Yarrowia lipolytica: one gene and its partner. The protein of the gene in region 2 interacts with the protein of the main gene of each other region in a biochemical or structural test. Links are inferred from orthologs where the notes say so. Each region holds a gene or a part of one and is shown on either strand. Other genes may lie near its edges. The genes, in order: YALI1_B27015g and YALI1_F00229g.

Region 1 (16,738 bases), on a different chromosome or scaffold from region 2:
AAAGAACATCAGCTCATGGCTCGCGTCGCAGGACTCTGTCCCCGAGGGAGCCGTCCAGCTGGTTTATGCACACCCCGGCTGGATCCCTCTGGCCAACGATCGAGCCGGAAACAACATTGCTGTCGATCTGGCACCTGGCAAGAAGGGGAAATGGGGTCAGGTGATTCTGTTCGGTCGGGAGTTTGACCGAAAATACGTGGTGGCCCAGTCGTGGGCTCACTTCCTGGCCATGGTCGCCGATGACTTTGACCGGGGCAACTGGGAAGTTGACCACGACACTGAGGAGCTGTGGTTCAAGACCGACCGAGGCACATTTGTTAGCTACTTCACTGTACTCAAGACCCGAGTGGAGCGACAGTTCCGACACCAGATGCAGCGACGGGAACATGAGCGACGACAGGCCGCTGCCGCCGCTCAGCAGCAGCAGCAGCAGCAGCAACATCACGCACAGGGAGGCCTCCACTCTCCCTCACCACAGCATACACAGAGCATGCCAGCCCCTGGCCTGGGCAAGCCCCTGACCTCTAAGCCGGCCCAGGATTTGGACATCGTCGACCTCAACGAGGACACTGCCACCATTAAGGACAAGGGCAAGGCTACTATGGGCTCTGCTCTCCGAAAGACTATTGTTGACGAGAGCAAGACTGCTCACACAATTGTGGAGCCTCTTGAGGAGTCTGAGGAGATCAAGGGCAAGGGCAAGGGCAAGGAGGAGGATGTCAACGAAGCCGCCGAAAAGGCCAAGGTGGAGGCCACCGAGAAGACCAAGAAGGCTGCCAAGGAAGCTGCTGATAAGGAAGCAGAGCTCAAGAAGGCCGCCGAGAAGGCCGCTGAGGAGAAGGCCAAGGCTGAGAAGAAGGCTGCTGAGGCTCGAGAGAAGGAGGAGAAGGAGGCCAAGGCTGCCGCCAAAGCCAAGGAGGAGGAGCTCAAGAAAGAGGAGGTAGCTAAGGCTGCCGCCAAGGCTGAAGAGGAGCAGAAGGCCACCGCTGCCGCTGAGGCTGCCAAGGCTGAGGCTAAGCGAGCTGCTGAGGCCGACGCTTCCAAGAAGGTAGAGGCCGAGAAGGCTGCCGCTGAGGAGTCTAAGGAGTCTAAGGCTGAGTCTGAGGAGAGCAAGGTCGAGAGGGATCTCGAGGAGCTCAAGATTGACGAGGAAAACGGTAATGCCGAGGAGGCCGATGAGGAGGCCGATGACGATGATGAAGATGACGAGGAGGAGGGTGACAGCAAGGAGGGTGAGGAGACCAAGAGCACAACCGCCTCAAAGTCCAAGTCCAAGAAGAAGAATAAGAAGAAGGGCAAGAAATAATGTATGTATGCATAACTTTTTGATGATGCTGTAAGATATTCAGAAAATATAAAAAAAGTGTTTGTTACAGAAAGACTGGGTGTGTTTCGTGTTGAATTACCTGTGAGAACAATAAGGTGGCTCGGCCCACTGTAATGTACATACTGTTACTATAGCTACTTGTAGCAATGGTATCAGAGAAGCTAGTTTTGGAGAACATTCTGTTGACCAAAGACGAGTCGTTTCGGTTCATCTTCTTTCCTCCCTCCCCAAGTGTATCTTGCTTTATCCCAGAGGCCATTCTGTTTCTCCACTTCTCCATTATAGTATGCTTTTGCTCTGAAGAAGCCAAATGCAAAATTGGACACAAACATGGACCCCAGGAAAAGCAGTGAAATGAGCCCCAAGGCCTTGTATGAGAATCTGTCAATGAACCCCGTGATGATTTCGGCCAGTGTTTCGGCTCCGAGACGGGCTCGGTTAACGGCATGTTCGTCTCTGTTCATGCACAGTTCCCATTGGTCACAGAGAGTCTCCAGAGCTGGACGGCGGGAGTTGGCTGCACATTCGTTAAGCAGGTACAGCTTTGCACACTTGCTTTTTGCCATAAGGATCTCGCCCGAATGAGCTGAGAACTTGAAACCAACGTCCTGTCGGACCGAGGAAATAAATAAGTAGACCACGTAGGCCATGACGGCCAGCATGATGCCGTTGAACGCGAGCTGTAGATACGAGGTAATGATGTACGGCAGGTTGGGGTTTTGAATCATCCATCCAAGGGTTGGGTTGGGCAGATGAAGGTGGTATTCTGCAGACTGATCCTGCCCCGGGCTTTGAGCCTCGGAAGTGTGAAGAGTTGGTGCTGGAGTGTGTACTGCTGCCTGGGCAGATTGAGGAGAGAAGTCGCCGTGTTTAGCGTCTGGTCGAAGATCGGGATCGATATCGTCTGCCTGATCAAGGGGTTTACCTTCATTGACAGGGGAGTAGAGGACCATGCTCATATCCACGTCTTCATTCTTCTCAATCTCCTTGACAGCAAACTGGGCACCGAGTTCAGTGGGATTGAACACAGATGAGATCTTCCATGGCGAGTTGGGTGCCGCAGCAGCAACTGACACCGAGGAAGTTCTTCTCTTACCTGCCTTGATGGGTGTAGACACAGGCGGAAGGAACTCGGGGTTCATGCGCGATAGGTTGACAGATTGAAGGTCAAGAAGATCCGTGGGGTCGTCAATGTCCATTTCGTCGGGGTCTTGGGTCTCGCTAGTTCGCAGATTGGAGAACTCCGAGGTCAGATCGTCAAACGGTTGTTGTTGCTGCAAGGGTCGGTGGTATTGTAACTGACGGTTCCGGACATCCTGGTCAGATAACGTGAAGCCACTGAATCCGGTCACCAGAGGCTCGTCGTCGGGCGCTTCGTCGATACTCATTTCTGCAAATGACATGGTTGTAGTTATGTCATACAGTGTATGCCACTTGAAACTTGATGCCAGCCGTATGCAGCCCGAGATGCATGAAAACAGATATTATTTTTGTTTAGCTGTATTAAGGTTACTTGGTACACTACAAGTAGTTTAGTCCCAACACAAGCAACGTGCGTACACTTGTGTGCCCATGCTCCACGCCACACAGAACAGCTCAGATTGCCTCTTCTCCGAGCTCGACAGTGATACCGACACAGACAAACCACTGCTTCACGATACCTCACACACCGTTCGTTTCTGCGAACCCCAGACCAAGCGGCGCATGGGCTTCCGCAAGTGGTTTTCTAGGACCAGCAATGAGAAGAGGCCTCTCATAGACCGCATCACCACACCCATGGACGAGATTTTGACCGACGAACCGCCCACGACTACAGACGCTTTGACTTCTCCTCCACGTGGCAGAAAATACAGAGACCATCAGAGAGAAGAGTATGAACGAAGACAGCATTATGAGAGGACGCGAGAACGGGACAGAGACAGGGACAGAGAGGGAGATAAGTACAGTGTTCCCCGGAGACAGCTTCAGGACTCTGCTCGTTGGCATGAACATGTCAGACAACAGCAACCTCACATACATCAAGCACACCAGATACCATACCAGATACCATACCAGATGCCACCAGGGCTGAGGCAACATATGCATCCTGCGTATCTTCAGCCACGACAGATCAGCCAGACGCCAGACGCCATATCGGGATACCCCAACCAGTCGTTACTGCGACCAATGTCTCAGGTGATTGAACCGCGATACATACGGACAGAGGGATTCCCTGTACCACCAGTGAAGTACGCACAGGTCCCCCAGGGAATGAAAGCGGAGATAATGGAGCTGAAGGACGATGCTGGAAATGATAAGAATGAGGAAAAGAAGTATGCCAAGGATAAGAAGGACGACAAGAAGAAGGAAAGCGAAAGTCCGCAAATGCAGTCAAATATTGAGAAGATGGTCAAGAACGCGTTACAGAACCATCGCCCGGCAGTCTACGAGACTCTTGTTCGGATGAACTCGTTTGTCCTTTCGCTTAAGTTAGCCCTCTGTATAGCCTGTGTGGCTTTTTATCCACTGGTAGGTATTCTTCTCATTGTGGTTCTTTTTGGGTCTGAGATCTTGCTTGAACTAGCTATAAAGTGTGGTCCTGACAGGAGTTAGCTAAAAGACAGTACATACTCGTACCTGTATGTAGCTATGTAAGAGGATATATAGTGTACCATGAAATATACAGTAGCCATTTTGGAGACTATTGTCTCTGGCCTTTAATCTGTGTGTGCCTAATTCGTTTCTGCTATTTATGTTTCCATCTCATCAATTGTAAATCCTATCAGGAAGAGTTTCCATCATATTAGTCCAGGTTCGCTCATCTACCCAGGATCTGAGATTTTGCAGAATGGCATGATTATCAATAACTCTGAAAGGCTCCACATCTCCAGGATTGAGCAGCAGTCTCTGTTTTCCTCCGCCAGTGTGGGGCCAATCAGAAGCCCAAATTAGCTTGTTGGGGCTCTCCGAGGCGAAGAACTGAACCACTTCTTCTAAGTCGCTGTATCCAGGCCCCTGTTCAGACAATCTGTAGAATCCAGAGACTCGAATGAGCACATTTTTAGCAGTCAGCTTGATGAGGGACTCGAATCCAGTGTCTCCGGGGCTCTTCATCCCACCCAAATGGTCTGCAATTACCGTTACTGGTAGGTTCCCAATGACATCAAACAGACTGTCCCAGTAGTTTGGTGGAATATAGGCCTGGATGAAGTAGCCGAGAGGGCCGACAAGAGCGGCTGTCTTGACTAGGGTCTTAGAGACATATTCAACGTCCAATTGACCGGTAGACACGACATTGACTCTGACACCTCTGATACCCAGTTCCCACCACTCTTGCAGCAGCTCCACGGGTGTGTTATCAGGATCAATTACCACCACTCCTCTCAATTTGTATCCGTTTTGCCGATCGGAGTGACCTCTGAGCGTGTCAATAATAAGCGAATTGTCTGTTCCATAAGGCGAGGGCTGGACCAGTACATTGTTACCAATCATGCCTCCACACAGATATCTGGAATGGGCCTCCAGACCAGGTAGAAGTGCCTGGTCGGTAGTGTATGTTCGTCTTCCGGCAAACGGATAATTAATTGGGTCAAATAGATGAACGTGTGTATCCCACGAGTTTGGCGAAAGCATTTTGTGTACTGTTGGTATTGCTGGGTGCACGTCTGAGGAAGGTCGCCTGGCTTATATGCACCCCACACTCGTCTAGGTTCAAAGTTGATCCGGAGCTTTTAGGTCGGATCCGAGTCGGTCTATTTGTAGTGGAACAAATGCGGATGCAAACCGATTAATGGAGATCTATCCACATGCCATCAGTCGTGCGACATTCTAAATCAAGCTGCTCATCTGTTTTTGTGTGGTTACTGAGGGCATCTCGTTGATCCTTTTATTAACACAGCCTTGCCGTCGAAATCATAAATGTGGGGCATGAAGGTGTAATCTCAACACCACGAAACACCTCAACGGAGAGGAAGGTGGAGCTCAAACGCTCAAATATGCTCAAAAGAGGCGGTGGGGGAATTTGAATCAGAAATGAGACAAGTGCACTTCAGTGCTGCTCCCCAAAGCTGCAATATGAAGCTTGAGGGTACAACGCAGACAACGATATATCCACAGGCTACTGCTAAAAGCTGGCGCGTGGATATAAGAAAACTGTCAGCTGTCAAATTCATCAGAATGGATCTAGAGTAGTGAAATTGAGGCCCAACAATTTACCGACCGTGGAATAAAAAAAAAACCAATTTCAACACCCCTCGTGGACTAAATACAGCAATTTGATGTCGCTCTATACGGCACTCACCAGTGGTTACTGCCAATTAGGTTTGCGCTCGCTAAGCGGAAAAATGAACCTTGCTAGCGGAACATATTTTAACGTGATACAAGAATACAGGGGATGTAAGATGAGGTGAGACGAGGATGGTTTAGCTGAATTGTGTCTCTACTCGGTGTCAGATACACTTTCTTGCAAGTGTCTGTTTACGTAGCTTGGTCCTGATGGCCACCTTGATCATCGTGACATCTGTCTACTTGTAGTTCCACACTATCCCCACCAAGGCAACCTAGCTCTGATTAGCTACATGCATCGTTATGGCGTCATTGGGTCATGAAACAGTAATCTTGTAACGTACAGTAATACAACATCGATGGTTAAAGGTGAGATAATTGGTGAGATAAAAGGATCTCCATTTCCTGTCGTACGACTACTGTAGCCTATACACGGTTGTTGTTTTTTTCAGATCTAATCACGTTGGGCACAAAATAGAAAAGATACTTGAACAAAAGCACAGGTTGCACTGATCCCACTATTAGTTGTCATTTTACTTCAGAATAAAAGTAGCTTGGAGCTCATTAATGTTTTATTCAATTCATTCTCGAACGTCATGGCATCCATCTCCCATGCATCTATCTCCCAATACTATATACATGTCTATCACTCGTCGTCAGAATAGTCACTGAGCTCGGCGTCCTCCAGCTCAACAGCATCGTCGTTAAGAGGAAACCGCAGAATAGCAGCAATACCTCCCAGGGCGTCAATTTGACGCCCCGAGTCCTGCAGATGCGAATACATAAAGACCTTGCCTCCGTTCTGCTGCACAGCCTGAGTGGCCTCAGCGTATCTGGATCTCTTAGCGTGATCGAATCCACGCACAAAGTTGGACGACAGGAACAACACAGAAACAGCGCTCATTTCGAGAGCGTAATCCACGTGCTTTTCTCCGTACCACACTCGATCTGGGTCTGTATGGAACATGCGTTGGAACTGGTCCATTTCGTTTCCGTCAGCAGCAATGGCCAGTTTGTTGAGTGCGGATTTGTAGGAGATTGACTTGAGAGCCTCTCGAATAGCAGTCTTGCCTTCGGACGAAGTTTCCAGTGTGATAAAGCCCTGTTGCAGCTGGATGGCTGTTTTCACCTTATTATCCACAGCCCATGCCTTGAAATACTCCGAGAAGAGCTTGTTCATGTAAGGCATGGAGATGAGCAGCACGGGAATAGTCCAGTCGGCTTTGCATCTGTTTTCAATGGTTCGCAGCAGCGTTTCCTTGGCCACGTTAAAGAAGTCGTTGTATTGCTTACCTCGAGTCTTTCCGACCGAGCCCTGTCCGTCGTATTTTCGAGGAATGGCCTTGTATCCCTGAACCAGCACTCGAGTGACACTATGACGCAGCTCGTAAATGGTGAACTTGCCAGTGGAGTTGAACACCATAGCAAGAGCGCTCATTGTGTCTGCTCCCACGTACTGGTCGAGCGTCTGGAGCGCAAAGAAATCCCAGAACTCCTTAATCACGGTCACCTCATCGCCTGGTGTAAGAGCCAACGTGTGATATTTCGTTTTGAGAGACTCGTGGTGGCCAGCATCGGTAATGACGCCTGTGATTCGGATTTCCTCGCCGTCGAAAACAATCTTCTGGGCACGAACAGTGATGTAAATGAGCTTTCGAAGCACCTTCTTCTTGCCTGCATTGCCCTGGATCTGCTCGTCATCAAAGGCGCCTGTGGTTTGTGGAACTGCTCGCAGTGTCTTGGCCTCGACCAAATCGCCTCTTTGGATCACGTTGGTCAGCGCATACAGGTCGTCAGTGGAATCCAGAGCGAGCTTTTTGTACTCCAGCTTGTTTTTCAGTCCCTTGGAGATGAGACGCATGTTGGATCAGATGTAGTAATAATGTCAGTAGAGAGCAGTTGTTGAGGTAAAAATGTCCTGTCGTGTATGTCAAGTCGGTTGATATCTATTGGTAAACGTGTCGGTTTCTGCTGAGCTTTGTCGGGGTGTTTGTGGAGGCTCAGGCACTGCTTTTATAAACTTGCTGATATATGGAAAAGGCTTGATTGGGACTGTGAGAACCTAAAGTTCATGTGGGATGTCATATAGACACCGGGTGATATGAGCACCCATACACATCCTTCCACACACATACCCTCACACATTCATTTCACCTATCATCTGTTATCATATTAATATGAGTTCATTTCGCGTTCAATATGTCGATATTTCTCCCAAAATTCATTATGTACTCCGCCCATACTAATATCCCTCCTAGCGATAGCTAAGGCCTATGCTATTTTGTAAGACAGGCAAATAACCTCAAGACGTACCGTACAGCATCCACCGTTGCATCATCACAGTAATATCGACATCACACCCAGGCGACAAGAGCGACACCTAGGCTTTGGGTTTCTCAATTCTCCACGACAACAAAACTGCGACGACACAACGACCTACATAACCGCCTCGTCAACATGTCCGATCCGTTTGCGAAAATCGGAGCGGTGTTGGAGTCAGCCAAAGAGCTGACTCTTGAAGCTGCAGTATCAGCATCATCACGACTTCTGGTAGACGACGCTCCCCTGTCAGCGGAGGAAATCAAAAAGCTTCTTAATGCGCGCAGCGACCGTGACAGATTGGCGGGTATGCGCCAGGTCATTGGTTTCATGTCCAAGGGCAGAGGAGAGGAAGCTCAGCAGTTCTTTCCGGACGTGATGCGAAACACGGCGTCCCAGTCTCTTGACATGCGCAAGCTCGTGTTTGTGTATCTGATCCGTTACGCTCCCATGGAGCACGATCTGGCTCTTATGAGCGTCAACACCATTCAAAAGTCGCTCTCTGATTCGTCTCCCACTGTCAGATCTCTCGGAGTCCGAGTTCTTAGCTCCCTGAGGGTCCCGGCCATCTCAGGAATTGTTCTCTTTGCTATCAAGAAGGGTGTGACCGATGTTTCGCCATTAGTCCGAAGAGCTGTCGCAGGAGCTATCGCCAAGTGCTACGACGTGGATCCTTCCACATTCCCACAGTTGGTCGAGTTCTTGCAGCAGCTGCTGGCCGACAAGAACGTTCATGTTGTCGGGTCGGCTATCATGTCCATGCTTCTCATCTGCCCCGACCGCCTCGACCTCATCCATCCCATCTACAGGCGTCTCTGCAGAATCATCCCCCAGCTCGACACGTTCGCAGCAGCTTCCGTCATTGATCTGCTAGTAAGATACAACCGTACCAATATTGCGCCACCAAAGGGCAACAATTCTGTCGACGCGGACACAGCTCTGCTTTTGTCGGCTCTTTATCCGGCCATTGAGAACTCATTGTCGCCTGTCTTCATCATGAGTGCAGTCAGTGCAGTCTACGCTCTATGCCCTGGACAAGTCCAGCCGGTTTACCAGGAGACCATCGAGGTGGGACTCGTGAGATTGCTCAAGAATGAGACCTTGGAAGTCGCTCTGACCATGATCAAGCAAATTATTCTTCAGAGAGACCAACCCAACGCATTTTCCACCCATGTTCATCGGTTTGTGGTCTTTCCCGACGACACCGCGTCCGTGGCTCTGCTAAAAATTGCCATCATGGCTTCAATCAAGGGCCCACGACAGTTTGTGTTGTCGGAACTCAAGCATTATGCTACCTCCACCTCTTACGAGCGCGAGGTTCAAGCAGCCGCTGTCTCGGCCATTGGATCCTGCGCCTCTGGGGGAACTAACAAGGAGTCCGACTCTCTGGTCACGTGGTTGCTTCGTCAGATTCGATCTGAAGCACCCACTTTGTCCGAGTGTCTTACCTGTGTGCGTTTGTTGATTCAACAGCAGCCTCAGAAGCACGTCGCCACGGTGACTAAGCTGGCCAGAATTTATACTACGCTTGACACATCGGCTGAGACATCTCCTGCTAAGGCTTCTGTGGTTTGGCTTGTCTCCGAGTTCGTGTCTGTCGCCCCCGAAGTTGGAGAGGCTCTTCTTTACTCGGCATTAAAAAACGTTGCATATGAGGACACACCTGTTCGAGCCCAGATTATGGATCTGGCTTCCAAGGTGTACCTGTTCCGAATCAATGAGGTTGGCAAGGCAGCTGAAGGAGAACTCACTGAAGAAAAACAGATTGAGTTTTCCAGGTCGTTTGTTGGACAGTTGTATTCGCACGCTCTCTACTGTGGTCGATTTGATCCTTCATATGAGATCCGAGATAAGGTGCGACGTCTAGGAGCGTTACTCAGCAATCCTGCATCTACTGAACTGGCTACCCTAATGCTCCAGGCTCCCAAGCAGGCTCCCAAGGTGGACAGCACAAACACCGAGGGCGGTTTGGAGCTTAACACTGCTTCTGCGGTACTTGGAACACCTCTTAGTGGGTATGTTTCCCTGCCTCCTTGGGAAAAGGATCTCTCTGTTCTTCCTGATGCTCGTCTACGAGATGAACCTGAGGAGGTGGTTCACATGGACACCGAGAAGGTAGTTACAGGTATCAGTCACAAGGAACTGCCGTCAATGTCTTCCAATGGTACTAATGGTATGACTGCCACCAAGCCCAAGCTGCAGAAGCAGACACTTGATGAGTTCTTCGCTGATACTGTTGGGAGCGAAGACAGTAGCGAGGAGGAGGAATGCGACAGTGATGACGATGATGGTGAGGAGGAAGACGAGGAGGAGAAAGACGAGGAGGAAGAAGACGAGGAGGAAGAAGACGAGGGGGAAGAAGACGAAGAGGAGGAGGAAGACGAGAGCTCGGAAGAAGATTCATCTGACGACGATCAGCCTGCTTCCCAATCTCCAGTCCCCGCTTCTCAGTCCCTTCTTCATGAAGAAAACCCGTTCGCCAACAGCTAGTCTAGTTGGCAACAAAAAATATAGCATTTGTCTATAATGAATCATGATGTTTAAATACACACGCAATACACCGTATCTGCTCCACAGCTACAAGTAGTGATCTCAGACGCTACTGTAGCATTTTTATAGATAACCGGTTCCGGATGTACTGAAATTTAGTCGGTTAGGAAAGAAGTATATTCTGTCAGCGACACTTGTTTCTGTCAAAGTTGAGGGAGGGATACTGTAGACTATTAGGAACAAAGACGCGCCAAGTCTGAGGGGCTTTCACATGGCACGTAACATTAATAATCAAGTAATCAGACATACGATTTATTCACGGTAAGTTATTTGTGCTCATTTTAACGTGGACTCCGGTCAGATGGCACATGGTTAGAGCATGTAGTTTCATGGGGGGTTCTGGACTGGCGTCTGCGTTCTCCAGAGTGCCGAACAGCTGCACGATTCGAGTCAGTACATAGCTGGTCTCTGTCAATGCGTATTGTTGGCCCAGACAGATTCTGGGCCCTCCGTTGAACGGCAAGTACTCCCATCCTCGTGATATGCCCTCTCCCCATCGTTCAGGTCGGAACTCGTCTGCATCTTCGCCCCAGAACTTTTTCAGACGATGGGTCGCGAACACACTGTAGACGAGTACAGAGTTCTTTCTGATGAGAATTGGTTGGCTCTCGTCCGGTCCCCCTCCTCTAGGTAGTGTTGTGTCACGTGTTGCGTAGCGAACATTGACGGGGACTGAAGGATACAATCTGAGTGTTTCATTGATGACGAATCGTAGGTACTCGCATCTCTTTAGAGACTCAAAAGTGATGAGAGACAGGTCCGAGCCAGAACCAAAAGTGCTCAGAATTTCGTCTCTCAGCTTGTTCCAAGTTTCAGGGTGTCTGGCTAACAAGTAGATGCACCAAGACAATAGAGAAGCCGTGGTGTCTCTTCCTGCCAGAAGAATGTTTAGGGCCTGGTCACTCAGAACCTGTGGAGATTTGACCTCACGAGCCAGCTCTGTGAGAAATACATACTTGTCATCAGCCTGCTTTTCCTTCTCGCTTTCAACAAGAGCCTTCTTGACGTAATGGTCCACGAACTTGCGGACACTTTTGCTGGCCGTAAACAGCTCCTGTGGTCTCCAGAGCCAGTAAAACATTTGAAGACGCACTCTGTAACCCCCATGGTGTTGAGCGAGATTGAAATCTGATTGGAATGATTTTCGCATAGGAATGGGCATGTCAGTCACAGTAGAGTCATCTTCAGCTGGATTGTCCACCGTCTGGCAGCTCACAGACTGACCAAAGAGAAACTCTGTGGCTGTATCGAGCGTCAAGTTAAAGAAAAGCCCTTGGATGTCAAATGAATCACCCTGTGGAATTTTGCGAACCAGGTTCTGGACATGTCGTTCGATCATATCAACGTCCGAAACTTGATCCCGGGCAAACTGTGGCCGTAGCATGGCTCGGGAGTGTTGCCAACCCTGTCCATCAAGAGTGAATATGCCGTCACCCAATATGGGGGCCAATTGGTTGTGTCTGACTCCTAAACAAAAGTCTTTGAACTGTGTAGCCAGCAAGGCTTTGAGGTTCTCAGGCTCTAGTGTAACAGTCACATCATTGCCTGCCAGCACCAGACCCACGGTCAGGTTTGGTTGTCGTTTGGTGAAGAAGTTGACAAACTCGTCTAACAAGACATTGTTCTTGCCCGACTTGAAGAAGAACAAGAACTCAGGAAAAGCCATAGGAAACGATGAGACGTCTCTCACCGGTGAACATTTCCACTTTTGGGCCAGCTTATAGCTCTGGTAGCGATATCGAAGACGGGTGAAAATCAGGTAAGACACCAGAAAGGCCAGGACGTAGAGTAGAATCATTTTATTGGACCAATTACAACCCAGCTGACATCTACGACTTTTTATATACCTTCCACTACAAGTAGCCCTTTAGTGTCCCTCCACCTTTTGACACTTAAAACAGAGTTGTCCTTACTTGGATGATGGATCAATTTTAGTGTGGGGCACGTTTGTGGGGTGCATAATCGTCAAAAAAGTAAGAGGTACTTGTAGTAGAAAGACATTTGAAGGAATATTCACATGTGTTTGAGTTCCAATGAAGTTATAAAAAAAGGCGTCGTGGCATGGTGTCATACTCGTCCAATTCCAATCGCCACTATAGTGCCTCTTCGTAACGGTCGCTTGTACGTCTAGCAGACCCTAGGCTCAACCAAAGGCTACTTCGTATGTACTGCAGCTACAGTATTGTAATGTCACATCAAAGGAAAGAGGCAGCAGGAACAACGGGTTACATATCCCACGTATAGTACGATACTGTACAGTAGTAGCCCCTGTTTCGGACAGTGACACCAACGCGGTGTACAATACCGTCTTTGAATTGTGGGGTACCTCTGACTAGGCCGCATATTTGACACCTCTCAACAATGCTGTCATTTGGTGCAAATACTGATTAGTATTAATGATTACACAGGTAGCTAGCTATATTATTACTTGATTAGCCAACTACTATAGTTTGTTGCCTCCTTGTCAGGAGAAGCAGCATGAACCCACGGAACTCTGTATTCGCAAGGACAACGCGGTCAGATGACCCGATCATGGCAACAGTATATTTTCTCCCATCACTTTTGCTCCTACAAAAGAAACACAGCATCGATCTACTGTATCTGTTCCTGAGTCACTGTGATTGCATCCATGGCAGTCTCCACTGTAGCTGCCACTGATAATTACAGTAGCTAGCTATCGTACTTACGAGTACAGTATGTACATACTGTACTTGTATATGGTCAATTAAGTGATGGGGGCAACCCCTTTCTGTAATATACATTATGCTAAATGTGAACTAACAATTCACTTGTAGTCTCTTAAACCCACAAATCCAACTCGTGTCGGTAAAATTCATCATCCTCTGGCATGTCGGGGTAGTAAGGAGTCATGGCATCGACATTATCGATGTACGCAGAGTTGTATGCCTTCCAGAACGGATCCCTGACCTTCCGGGCAGCATGGAACAGACCGGCCCAAATGTAATTAAGCACCAGGCCGGGTCCCAGGCAAAGACGAATGCCCTCAATGGCGTCCAAAATACGCACGATCACGTGAGGAGACGTCTCATAGATGTTGGGAATCAGCAGATTGAGAAAATGCACCATGGCATCCTCGGCTCCGAGACCCACGCAGTTGATGGCCAGATGGCGCACAACAGTGGCTGCCGTCTGTCGATGTACGTGGTCTCTGTCTGTAAGAGCATCTTCCAGCAGGGGAGCCACAGCGTAAATGTAGTCTTTGGCCATATCTCCAATGTACTCAAACATGAAGGTCATGGCTTTAAGAACACCGTTCTGGACGTTGATCTCAGGAACACGGTACTCGTTCATCAGAGCAGGAAGCACGGTGAACGGAGAACAAGTCTCGGCCACAATACCAATCGCCACAGCTGTACAGACACGAGACTGACGTTCCTGGACTCGCAGGTTAGATAGCAGCGTGGCCAATACATCTTGGGGGCCAATCGCCTTGGCGATATATCCAAATGTGTTATTTGCTGCCTTTTGAATGGTCTTCTTGTGTGCCTTAAGGAGATCAATGAGCTCGAAACAGATTCGCATCCATTCTCGAGCGGACACATACTCGGGACCTCGGTCGGCAATTCGACCAACCAGATCGATGGTGTTCTCCTGTACCTTTTCGTGTCGGTTACGCAGAATAGGCGTCAGACGAGGCAGAAGATCTCGAATGGGGGGAGTCATTGAAGCCAGACCAACAACAGCGACAATGGCCTTGAGGGCTCCAAGCAGAGAACCCAGAGCCTCAGGATACTCTTCTCCAAGCTGCTCGTACAGGATTTGTCCCAGCTTGTTGAGGGCCTCATCTTCTCCACAGTTCTTCATAACTCCAGCAATCTGGCCAATCAAGTCGGCAGCCTGACTTCGAACAATAGGGGACTTGTTGGAGAGTCTGAACAGCACGGAAGACGTGATCTGAGAAAAGTAGGGTGCGGCTCGTGTATCAAGAGCTTGGATAACTGTTCCGAAGCCTCGTAGCATGACAATCGAGTCGGCTCGGTTGGCATTGGCAGCTGGTGATTGCAGCTGGAACGCCGTCAGAATACCGTCAACCAGACGGGTTTCCAGTTTCGAGCCGGCCTCGATATCAGCAATTCCGAGATTGGCCACAACCTTGTCAATAGTCTCCATTGTAAGTCGTCTAAAGTGGTCAGACTCGTCCTTGAGATGGTTAGCAACTCGGTCCACGATTTCAGCAGTACCGACCTTATTAGCCAGTTCCACAGTTGTAGAGAGAATAAGCTTGTAGCACACTCGATCAGAAGCCATTCGACGGGTCCAGAAGCACTTAAAGTACGTGGGAAGAACCTCGACACGAATGTATCGAGCGGTTACACCCTCAGAGCGGGCACATTGCGTGACCACTTCCAGAACCACTCGCTTCATTTCCTCGTCAGGGGAATAGAACTCTCGAAGAACGACAGCCATAACTTCCTTGGTATAATAATCGGCATAGTCGGGATTCATCAGAGGAATAATGTATCCAATCGCTTTCAGAAACGCCACAAGATGTTTACCTCGCTGCTCTCGCACCCCAAGCCAGAGAGGTTCCAATACGTTCTCAAACGACTCAATACCGTAAGGGGCGGCAGCTTCGGCAAGAGCAGCAAGAGCCTGCGCGGTCATCTGACGGACCTTAGGGTTGTCGTCAGTCAATCCGTCTCCAATACAATCCACGAGAGAGCCGAGATATGGCAGCACTGTGCATCCGATGAGAATAGCAATCTGCTGGACAATCTTTGCTCCTGTGTGACGAGCTTCCCATGACTTTTTTGACTTGCAGACGGCTTTAATGAAAGGAACTAATGCAGGAACTCCCAGAGCACTAGCAACAATGGCAAACGATCGAGCAGTGGTGTTTCGGACAAACTCGTCTGCGTGTCCGACGTTAGGTCGGAGTGTTGATATCATATGTGGGAGTCCAGCGGCCTTGGAGATGTTGGCAACCAGCTCCCGTCCCTCGACTCGTGTGAAATAGTCCTCATCGATCAGTAATGGCTCAATGACAGACAATAGTCGGGGTGTGTATGGTCTTACCAGATCACCCAGCTTGAACAGGACTCGATCAACCACCTTGACAAGCCAGTGTCGTTCTGTATCCTCCAAGGACCTTTCTCTGAAAAGGGGGATGATTTGCGAAAAAAGGGCCTCGGGACCCAGAGATCGAGCAGAATCAGTCAACTGTCTCATGGCCTGCTTTCGCATCTGAGGAGATCCGTTCTTGATTTTTAGAATCAGACGCATCACCTGGCGCTCCTTCATTTCACGAGCACTCAATAGACCCTGTTCTTCTGCATCCTGCTGTTTGATCAGCGCTCCAAAGTACTTCATATCACTTTCCTTAAAGTACGCCAAATCTCCCACTCCAGGAATAGCGTCAGCCGAAGGAACGGCTGCCTGGATCGCCAATGCTCTATCGACCGCAGTTTCTGTGCTGCCTCCTGGAATGCTGTATCCCTCAATCTTGACTGTCACCTTGCTCTTGATTAATGGCTTGTATGAAGCAGGGGGAGTAAGTACAATGTATCCTTCCGAAGGAAGCACCGAAGCAAGAAACTCGTCTGTTATTTTGCTGGTTGTAGACGTCTCGGCTTCCTTTTCGTCGGGAACGTCCCATCTCGACTTCCGCTTTCGTCCTCTCTCACCACTGTCTTCAGTGACAGGTTTATCTGATCGGCCCTTTCTGACACGAGGACCCACTCTGGGAGGAGTTTGAGCCCGTTCGAACTTCCGAAGTTCATCCTGTTCCTTCTGGGATGTTCCATTTGCCTCCTCCTTCTTTCTGATTGCCTCCTGTACTCGCTTCTCGTCTCGTTCCAGGTCTCTTAAAGCCAGTCGCTCCTTGTAGCTTAGATCCTTCTCATCGTCATCAGCCTCCTGGCGATCCAGACGTTTGCGCTTGTAATCGTTTGCACGGTTGTAAATGCTCTTGTTGGACTCGTTAGCTTGCAGCTCATCGACAGCCTGCAAAGATACAGTCTCGTTGAGGAACTCTTGTGGAGCAGTATACGAGTCCTGAGGCAGGTTTTGACGCTCATCATCGTTAAGAGCCTGCATTTCCGATACGTCTGCCATCACTGCGTCGTCATCCTCGAAGAACGGCTTTTGCCTGTCTTCTCGCAGCCGCTTAATTTCGTCCATGCTGTTGTGTGTGGGTGTGTTAGTAGTGAGAAAACGCAATGCATAAAAATACAAATCAAGCTCTGATCTGAGATAATGTGGGAGTGCGACAAGATGCATCTTGTGGAGAATTGAGAAGATACTACAAGTAGACATAAG
Region 2 (10,650 bases):
ATCATGCAAATACGGCAATGGGGAATTCAACGTCCATTACGTCACTGCTCTCACATTCATGAAGCCCTAAACAACCCCATCAACTCCGCCCGCGTGCGTACCTGACCCCCACACCTATCTCGGCTATTGGGAAGTGCCTCAATGAAATATGCGCCCCATAGCATTGGACAAGCATTTCCAGTAGAATACGAGTACATAGAACCCGCCGCGCCCCCTCTCTTCAATCGCTTTCCATACTGAACTCCGCCAGTCTGATTTATCTTTAACGCCGATACGATATCTGGGCCATTCTTGTATGGAACATTCAAAATACGCTAAGCTCAATATGTCTCACTCTAACCGTTGTCTCTGTCCTAAACACGACTACGCTTCTCGCCAATGGCCAAACAGACTTATCAATCAATCAATCACTTTTAATCTTCCTTCTACGTACGTGTATCTATCTACTGTTTCTCGGGGAGAGGAGCAGCGGTTCCGTCCTTGAGAGCCTTATCTCGTCCGCCCAAGTACCAGTAGTTGACGTATCGAGCGCCCTGGCCGAGCTGAGCACACTCATTGACAAAGTGGCAGCCGAACAGCAGAGGGTTCCAGGGGGTCACGGCGGTGGCGTACTTCATGAAAACCAGAGAGTAGACAATCAGAGAGCCGGTCATGGGGCCGGAGATTTTGGTGGGGTCCTTCTTAAGATCCATCACCGCAGCCACGGGGATTCCAAAGTTGGAAACGGGTCCCCAAAAGTGGGTGGAGCAAATGTCTGTGTTAGTGTTGAACAAAAAGAGATCGACTTGGAGCAAATAGATACGCTATCTCCGTTGTAAGTCCTTGATGTGAACAAATCAACGTCCGGGGTGATTGACAAGATTGACAACATGGGGTACATTGGTTTCTTGTCGCTTGTGTATTGTTGGTCTTTCGTGTTTGTGGAGCAATACCGACACCTGGCATCTTATTGTCGCAACAGACAATCTGCAACGAATCGATCGTTAGACCAACATGGCTCAACAGTTCACTCCTGTCTGTGTGTGTCCGAAAAATGTCCACCGCTCCGCCAATCAACACAATGCTACCGGAATACTCACATTTCACAAAGTCCTTGGAGAAGATGTAGTTGGTCGTTCTGCTGATGATGCTACCGTTGGACATGGCTGTGTATGATTGTGTGTCTGTGTCTGTTTTTGGTGTTGAGGAGAGGGAAGTATTCGCGCGGAAACCTAAGAGTCAATAATTAGTGTGAGGGGCTAGCGGTTGGGGGTCGCCAAAACCTAGAGTGGAAAAACGCTGAGTCAGAGCATAGTTCAGAAATGTTGCAGCTCACATGCACCCTCAAATAATCCACATCGACTTTCAAAATTTATTTTGACAATAGGAAAACAAGACCACACAACATCGAGTCATGTCCTATTTCTACGCACCGCCTCCGCCTCCGCCACCAAGCAACAGCGGCACAGCCCCCACACCCACATTCACGTCTAAACACCGCGAGGAAGACGAAGAAGACGAGGAGTCGCTGCTAGCTAAAAAGCTGGCGGCTAATGGCCCTGTCCCTATCCAGGGAACATCAGTGCTGCTTATCACACCAGAGGACATTGAGAAATGGAGAGCAGAACGACGCCAAAACTGGCCCACGCGCAAACGGGTGCAGGAGAAGCAGGAAAAGGAACGGGAACAACAAACTAAGAAACAGAAGACAAACCCAGGCGATATGGACAAACTGCCAACCGCAAACAACAGCAACAAAGAATCTGGCCCCAAAAAATGTTCTTTCTTCATGAAAACAGGAAAATGCAGATTCGGAGACAAGTGCAGATTCTCACACGACAAATCAGGGGCCACTGCAACGGGCTCTGCAAGCTCAGGTGGAGCACCTGCACCTCCGGCAGACCACGCTTCAAAGGTCTACAGACGGTACCAGCCACCCAAAAAGATGCCGCTGTACAAGAAGCTCTTCCGGACCGACATTATGAAGGAGAACGAAACTCTACTTGCATTCATTAACCATCTCAACGAGCAGGGACTGCTGGATTAGAGAGAATGTCTTTCATAACCCACCTATTAGCATATATTATAGCATACACATAGATACACATAGCATACGTCATACATATAAATAATTCTTTACGCGTAATTACTCAGTTAGCAAATAAAACGGTGACACTAAGTGGACATGCTAGCCAGAGCAGTCACGGTGCCGATACTTCCCACAAGCATACCAGCTGCAACGGCGGTGAAGATCTGCCCAATTCGTCGGCCTTCGGTGGACTTCTTAGGCAGAGGTACATCCAGATCCTCCTCTTCCTTCACCATCTCCTCCCGGGTTCGCTTACGAACTCGAGGAATGGATGCCAGCTCCTGGAAAGCCGCTGTGGGAAGAGGCTCCGGGGCTGTGGCAGCAGGCTCGTGAATGATTGTCTCCTTGGCGGTGGGAAGGTTGGTAGAAGCGTCCTGGAAGGCTGGGCTCTCGGCGGGCTCTTGGACGGTTGACATATCGATGATGGAGGACTTCTCGATAAGGGGAGTTTGGGTTGTAGCCTCGACTGAGACGGTGGTAGATACCGGCTTGACAGAGACCTTGGTGGACTCCATATCCATGGCAACCTCGTTGGACTTTGTAACAGGTATCTTGGTTGACTCCTGACCAACGGAGACCTCGGAGGTATCTGCAGGTTTCACAATGGAGCTTTCAGCAGGAGCTTCATGTACCTTTAGCAAAGATTCAGCTCTCTCATCCTCCTCAAATAGGAAGGCTTCCTCTGAGTTATCGAACTGATTCTCAGGTGTCTGGAACGATCCTGGCTCGTGAGCTGGCAAGGTGTCGTAGCCAAAAAGGGTGTCCTGGTTGCTTCTTCTAGGTTTGAAAAAAATCTGATGGGGATTTTCATCAGGCGCACGAGCAGTGGGAGCCGATCTGAGAAGCTCAACAAGAGTGGCCGGCTCAACATCATGATCCTTGTCATCATCGGAATCATGAGAAGCCGCGAGCCAACGTTGGTTTCTGTTTTGAGAGTCGTCCTCGTCCTCTTCTTCCTCTTCATCGTCTTCATCGTCTTCTTCGTCTTCTTCGTCTTCTTCGTCTTCATCATCTTCTTCGTCTTCTTCGTCATCGTCCTCGTTGCGATCCTCTTCGTCTTCTTCGGACCAGTGGCATCGCTGAGCATCTCCAACTTGCCCTTCCCCGTTGTCACCCGACGAAACGGCACAACCAACGACTTCAATGTCGGATTGTTCGCCAGTATCTTCATCGTCGGAATCAATGTCAATAACGATGGCATCGTTGGGGGAAGAGTCCATGCTGGTGCCCTGGGAAACCTCGCTGTCGTATTTGTAAACAATGCTCGAGGAAGAAAAGGTCACAGAAGGAGTGGCAGGAGCTTTTCCAAAGGAGATGCTCTCAACCTCAAAATCAAAGGCGGTGCCGTGTGCCCTGCAGTCAGGGGACAGGGTCACTTGCGAGCCTTCCTTCAGGGGATAAAAGGTGTTGAGCTGCAACTTCTGGCCGTCCAGCTTGGTGCCGTACTTTGCCTTGCTCTCAAACAGAAACAGCTGTTTATCCGTGGCTACAAAGCTGGCGTGGTTGCGAGACACGAGGTTGAAGGCCTTGGGGACATGGATGTTTTTTTTGTGGCCTCTGGGTGACCCCAGGGTCTGCTTCTGCGCGTCGGTGAGCTCCACGTCGAATGGTTTCATAGAATCAGGCTCGAAAGAGACACAGTCCACTTCGCCGCTGCGAGTCCAGTCGTTTCGTCTGGAAAAGAGCGTGAAGGAACATCGTCCCTTGGTCTGCGAAATCGCAGAGCTGGCGGGAACGGTAGAAGGTGTGGTCTTGTCAGCTTCGCCCGTGGTGGGAGACATTGTAAGGAGACTTAAAATATGTAGAGCGTGTCGGTGTCGGTGTGGTGTGTGTTTGTTGTTGTCTGAGAGGTGAGAGAGAAGACACACTGAAGTCTAGGTGGCGAAGGCTTTATCAGGAACCCCAGAAGCTTAAATGTATAGAGTGCGGAGTATTGAGCGCTGCTGCTGTGGTTACGGGACAGATGATACAGTACAGGCTATAGTATCACCTGCAACGTATGTGTGGGGCTGCCCATTGTTGAGTGGAAATGACCAGTCAGATGCGCGGGTCTGCCGCGGCAAAATGCTACACGCGAGCGTCTCAAGTGACACAAACACGCACTCCAAACACCAGGGTCTCTCTTTTTTTTCCCCGCTGGTTTACGTTACGTCCCAATTATTTTGGGCCGGTGCTCTTCTCCTTCCTCCCAAGGTTCTCGCACTTGCACCTTCCCTTTACTGATTGTCCTAATCTTACTGACAGCATGCTTGTTCAACGCCACAGAAAACTTGATAGGAACCCTATCTAAATTAGTACACGTGATACATGCATTAGAGTTTTAGAACGAGCACAACCAGCTTGCTACGATACGATACGAGACTGTACCGCCATGCTTGAGCTACAGTACAAGTGTATGGTTAATTACAATACATCTATGATCTACTCGATGACGGCAACCCGCTTCTTGCGCTTCTTCTCCTTGACCTCGCCATCAGCCCCCTCCTTCTTGGCCTTGCTCTTGGGCTTCTTTTCCTTGTCCTTTTTGTCCCTCTTGTCCTTCTTGTCCTTCTTATCTTTCTTGTCCTTGAGCTCCTGCTTCATCTGCGCAACCTCGGGCGAGTCCTTGTCGTCCTCCAGCTCAAACTGGTCGAGCTGGTTGGGCCGAATCAAAACGTTCTTCTTGACGTTCTTGGTCACCTCCAACTTGGGCACAATCTCGCCATCAATCTGCTCGTCCTTGATGATCTTAATCTTGCGCTTCGGCTTGGTCTGAATGGGCGGAGTCTTTATCGATGTCTCGTTGATCTGCAGGTCCACCACGGGGATGGAATCGACGTCCACCTGCTCGTCCTTGAGAGGATTGGGCGTAGTGTCTCGAGAAATGTAGAACGGATCATCCTTCTGCTTCTCTAGTCGCTCCTTACGAGCATCCAGTAGACTCTCCTTCTGCACTCCACTGACCGTAGAAGCAAATTGGGGGGTAAACTCCTCCTCAACATAAACCTCCTCGTCCTCAATGTCAGAGAATTCCACTTCCAGGGTCTGCTCAAGCTCGGGAGGGAGCTCCAGATCTAAGAATGGAATTCTCTTCTGAGTGTCTGGTGCCACAGGATTCAGTTCATATGCAAAGAAAGACGGCAGCACCTCGGTAAGAAGCACAGGCACACCCTCCTCCTCCAGAGACTCGGAAATGACCTTGAAGAGCTCGGAAAACTGGGTGGCAAAGTCCTGCAGCTCGTAGTCCGGCGACGCAAGATATGACGACAAAAACTTGATCACATTGGTCACAGTCTTTTTAACATAAAGCTCGTTGGGAGATGACCAGATGATGCCCTCGCAGAACTTGCCAAACACCTTCACGATGCATACACAAACGGCCAGATCGACAGCATTGTTGCTGCTGCCACTGTTCTCTCTGACGTGCGAGTATGAGTTGAGGCAAAAGTCCAAAATGTCCTTTTGTCGATGCATGGGGTACTCGCTGAGACAGAAGAGAACGGGAGGCAGGACGCCGGGGTTCCGGAGATACACACCTCCGTCTGTGAATATTTCGTAGCAAACTCCGGTAATCTCCTCTCGCATATCGGGGACTCGCATGCACAGATCTCGGAGCGTTTCTCCGATCCGAGCAGGGTCTTCGAGAGGGAAATCGACCAGTGCGAGCTTCTTGAGCACATTCAAGAACCACTCAAAGTCGGAAATGAGTGAGTATGTGTCTCTGCAGCACATGTCCAGAATGTATGAAATGGACGCGTGGGTAAGTTGCTGGGAAAGCAGCAGGTTCACAATGGTTTCAACATTGTGTTCCGATGCAAGATCGTTGGCAAGCTCCAGTGCTCGTTCTCGGATCGTGGAATCGGCGTTTTCCTTGAGGCATTCCAGAATGACACCCTGCAGCTTTCCAACAAGAATGGGATGGACCTTGACGATCTTCCCAAGCGCTAAAAGACCCACGTACTTGAGATTCTGGTCGCCTTGGTTCACAAAAGACGACAGCTTCTCGACACAGACACCAGCCACATCGTGGTCGTCTTCTCCTAGCATGCCTCCGCTCACAATGCAGTTGATGCACTCGTACTGGAGGGAGAGTGCCGAGGTGGACTGGATCAGGGTCATGATCTGAGGCAACAGCTTAGGTTTAAGCCGAGGCTCAATGGGTGCCAACGACGAGAACAGCTTGAGGATCTTAATCATCATCCAGTTATTGGAGGACGTGGTCAGCAGCTGGTAGAGTTGTGGGGCCAGGGGCACGTAGTTCTTTGAGTGCTTCTTGGCGAGCTCACAGATCACGTTGACTGTGGCAGAAACAACTGAGGGGTCTGAATCATCGAGTCGATCTCTGAGACGAGAGAACGACGTCCGCAGTGCCTCTGGGTACTGGAGGAAGATCTTATACATTGCCAGCACTGCCTTCTTTCGGATGTAGGGTTTCGAATGGGACAGCATTTTGACAATTTCGGGGTGCACGTCCTGAGCGAGTGAAGGGGTGACAATGGTGGCGATTGCGGATAGAGACACGGACACCTCGACCGGCGAGCTTGACGTCAGATCACGTTTAAGGAGGTTGGTCGCAAGCATCAACACATCGTCGTCGTCACGGTAGGACTGGATGGCAGCGAGGTAGCCCACTCGTTTTTGTTGGAACTTTGGCGAGCTCATGACCTCCAGGACGTGGAAGGAGGCCCACGACATGTCGTAACCCAGCATCTCCAGATATGCCAGTTTGAGGATGGCGAGTGTCTTGACGGTCAGATCCTGGTTTCGGGCCTCCTGGTGGCAGTCGGACACTGCCTGTTTGAGGAACCGCTCTTTGGCGGGCAGATCTTTGGCGGCTCGAATACCCTTAATGAGATCAGTTAATGTTGATTCGAATCTGTGTTAGTGTGGCTGTGGTGTTGTGGTTGGTTAATGGCTCACTGGTGTTATGGTGAAGAGGGAACCCCATGACCTCTTCAATCACACGACTGCTGCATTCTGCATACTCACATGACTCCAAAAGGCCGCAGCCGATTTCGTACATCATCTCTGGTCGTCAACGACATGGTTGTTTCGTTTGTGTGGTGTGCGTCTACTGTCGAAGCTTACTTGTCATCCCCCGGGTGTCACGTGATCGTCGGTGTCTGTGATGAATGATGGATGGATGGTGGGCATTTAGAGTTCGGGTTGTGGTGCTCAACCACATGCAGACGCTTAGCGTGTTATCGAGAAATTTAATTCGTCCGAGCGAGATATGCGGGATTCGGACTCCGACAGACTCCGAAATTTGCCAGAGGCATGTCAGGGCCACAATTGCCTCTCTAGAGCCTCGCCAAGAGCTGTAGAAACATGTTAAAACTAACTCCGGGTTAGTTTTTTTAGTCCGAGGCTAAGCTTATGGCATTCAGGAGGCTTTTCTTTTTCTCGAGTGACCGGGACATGACTGAGGGCTGTTGGAGTTGCTACAAGTCCTCTGTAGCTGTCGTTGATGGGCCCCATCATCCAAAACGGTTCCCGTTGACGTCTTTATTACAGTTTCATCCATCTCCTGGAGCAGATGATGCATGACTGAAAGGAACAAGGCACCCCATTCGGATAAAGCAACAAGCTTGGAGCAACAGTAGGCCGTGCGGATGGACCAGCAACGGCTTCCGAAGACCAGCGAATTGATTAGGACTAGAGGTGCAGCTAGGAGCAGTTTAACCTTGGCTTCTTCGTCGTTCTGCTCGTGTGATCACACAAGTGCAAGATTTTCACTGATTATCGTCCACGGTTTAATTTATCAGATGCTAAAATTTGACTCGAGCTTGTCCCGACTTTGTTCCGACTTTTTCCCGAGCTTGTGTCTATAGTAGAATGTCTGTTGAACAAGAGTTATCGGCATGTGTTCCCTACTTGACAACAAGACCATGTCCACTTGTTGCTCCAAAGCCAAGAAAGAACTCATCACGTCACACCAGATTGGAGTTATCAGATGCGATTATCTTTTGGTTTGTAGTTTATTTCTCTACTTCCTTTCTTCGCCGCAATGCACTCTGGAGCTACTGCTCTCCAATGATGTGTCTTGTCGTCACTGCCGCCGTTCTCCAGCTAAACGTGACACACATTTCTTGCCTTGCCTTTATGCTTTCCCGAGACGCACATAGGAAATAGAGTCGAAACTTTTGTGAGCGCCGTGTTGATTGGGCGGCCATATGCGACTGCCAGGACCGGTGACCTGTATCAATAGCACCCCAGAAGAGCGCTGCTATCGAGCCCGAAAGAGCATGTTTACCAGAACCGATCGTTTAGCGTGGTTTTGGCAGCCCCAGCTCCCATTGTCAACCTAAATGTCCATGCGACCTTGCAGCGTGGATCGCAGTACGAGAAAGAAAGGACAGACCTTGCAAGAGCCCAAAGCTTGACCCCAGACACCGCGACTTGTGACGATTGTGAAATAGTTGTGTGGTGTCAAATGACTCAGCATCAACACCACCTTACTCCGTGGTTCAACACCAGACCTGAGACTCCCTTACGACACCCTTTGGACACCCTTGCGACACCATTGCGATGAACGCACGCATGTCCAGAAACAAGCCTAACAAGAGCCGCCCCTTAATAACGAACATGGTTCCCCTTATCCGCCTTTTCATGCTGACGCACCTCCGGGGATCTAGCACAGAACTCTGTGTGTAGGTGGGCTTGCCAAGTCAGCGGGGTAGTCCACGGAATGTAGTTGGAGCTACCGGGCCAGTCTGTAGTTATTGTGTGATGTGTATACACGTGCGTGAGGTCTCCCAGAGATGGTTCCCTTCATCTGTCAATATTCTCCAACGCTCAAGTTCCATAGACTTTTATGTGCATAAATTTGCGCTTCAGACACGACCTTGATACAAAGACCCCGAGCTAATTGTACGGCTATATGCTTTTGGCTATTTTGATACAGTCAACACCCAGGACACGGACACACGCACACACCTAAAAAAAAATTAAAAAAAGAGAAAGAGAGAAACACTCATAATAAGAAGGCCTCGACCAACTGAATTTTCTCCCCGACCAGTCCGTTCTCATATCACACACTATTCAACAACATGTCGCTCACGTCGCGGGAAATCCGCATGATTGCGTTGCTGATTATCGACACTTGCTTCTTCCTGCTTGAAGCCATTGTTGGTGAGTACTGACGAAACGATACAAAACCAGATCTACCATCCCCAGCTCTAACACAGGTTATGCCGTTCATTCACTCGCCCTTGTGGCCGACTCGTTCCACATGCTTAACGACGTCTTCTCGCTGATCATCGCCCTCTGGGCCGTTCGAGTAGCCAAGTCTCGAGGAGCCGACTCCAAGTACACCTACGGCTGGCAGCGAGCCGAGATTCTCGGAGCTCTGGCCAACGCCGTCTTCCTGCTGGCTCTGTGTCTGACCATTCTGCTGGAGGCCATCCAACGTCTTTTCGAGCCCCAAATCATCACCAACCCCAAGCTCATCGCCGTTGTCGGTACCGCCGGTCTGTGTTCCAACATTGTCGGACTACTGCTGTTCCACGAGCACGGCCACGCCGGACACAGCCACGGACATGACCACGATCACGATCACGACCACGCCCACGACGAGGAGGAGGCTGTCGACACTGTGCTTGCCTCTCAGTTCACCGCGCCCACCGAGCAGACCTCTCTGCTCCAGCACCCCACTTCCCACCGACGATCCATCTCCAACATTGACTCGTCCGAACATGCTACACACTTCCACGCCAAGAAGAAGAATGAGCAGAAGAAGAAGGTCTCTCTCAACATGCAGGGCGTCTTCCTGCACGTTATGGGCGATGCTCTTGGAAACATTGGTGTCATTGCCACCGCCTTCTTCATCTGGAAGACCGACTACTCATGGAAGTACTACGCTGATCCCGTCATCTCTCTCGTTATCACTGTCATCATCTTCTCCTCGGCTCTGCCTCTCTGTCGATCCACCTCTTCCATTCTGCTTCAAGCCGTTCCCCAGAACATCAACGCGGAGGACGTCAAGAACGAAATTGTGGCTCTCGACGGTGTCGAGGAGCTGCACGACCTGCACATCTGGATCCTCAAGGAAGACACCTTCGTCGCCACTCTGCATGTCGGCGTGGCCTCCGACCCTTCTGAGTTCATGACTCTGTCTAATGACATCAAGAAGATTTTCCACGAACACGGCATCAACTCAGTCACCATCCAGCCTGAGTTCAATGTTGCCACTGGTAGCACCACTCCCGACAAGCACCAGTATCACGTTTCCGTCGGAGGCCTGAGATCCGCCAACTCCAACGGCTGTCTCGCTCCCCAGTAAGATATTTAGTAATACCACCATGACAAATAGAATGTGTGCTCGCTGTAGCTACTGTAGATTGATGCTATAAGTTTACAGTCTTTGGTAACTACTTGTACTTGTAGTTCATCTCATTAGCCTTCTTATTGCTGTAGATCTTGACTATCAGCAGCAGCTACTTGTAGTTACGTGTATGATGCCTGTCAACAGACGCTTACGCAATCGCTGAGAATACTGTTACGTTTCAAGCCTTCTAGGCTGGTCCAGAAAACCCTCGTTTCTAGGGTGTTCTTCTCGTGTGTGTGAGCCTGTGTCTCTGCGCAAGCTTGCACCGGTCTGTGTT

What was found.
Region 1: the proteins of YALI1_F00229g (region 2) and YALI1_B27015g form a complex in vitro, tested with the Saccharomyces cerevisiae proteins (2 studies listed by BioGRID). The link is inferred for Yarrowia lipolytica from reciprocal best matches to the Saccharomyces cerevisiae genes APL5 and APL6.

What each region holds. Positions count from the first base shown.
Region 1 is NC_090771.1:2,693,465-2,710,202, forward strand, and holds YALI1_B27015g (uncharacterized protein), read left to right. Parts: upstream 1-8,047; coding exon 8,048-10,399; downstream 10,400-16,738. Other genes in the region: YALI1_B26926g (uncharacterized protein), read left to right, coding at 1-1,306; YALI1_B26962g (uncharacterized protein), read right to left, coding at 1,489-2,730; YALI1_B26963g (uncharacterized protein), read left to right, coding at 2,900-3,919; YALI1_B26984g (uncharacterized protein), read right to left, coding at 4,073-4,939; YALI1_B27009g (uncharacterized protein), read right to left, coding at 6,237-7,451; YALI1_B27057g (uncharacterized protein), read right to left, coding at 10,716-12,257; YALI1_B27102g (uncharacterized protein), read right to left, coding at 13,259-16,735. UniProt on the Saccharomyces cerevisiae protein: Part of the AP-3 complex, an adaptor-related complex which is not clathrin-associated. The complex is associated with the Golgi region as well as more peripheral structures.
Region 2 is NC_090775.1:19,351-30,000, reverse strand, and holds YALI1_F00229g (uncharacterized protein), read right to left. Parts: upstream 7,093-10,650; coding exon 7,037-7,092; intron 6,924-7,036; coding exon 4,490-6,923; downstream 1-4,489. Other genes in the region: YALI1_F00288g (uncharacterized protein), read right to left, coding at 444-754, 1,080-1,143; YALI1_F00286g (uncharacterized protein), read left to right, coding at 1,394-2,026; YALI1_F00261g (uncharacterized protein), read right to left, coding at 2,155-3,849; YALI1_F00207g (uncharacterized protein), read left to right, coding at 9,097-9,178, 9,235-10,328. UniProt on the Saccharomyces cerevisiae protein: Part of the AP-3 complex, an adaptor-related complex which is not clathrin-associated. The complex is associated with the Golgi region as well as more peripheral structures.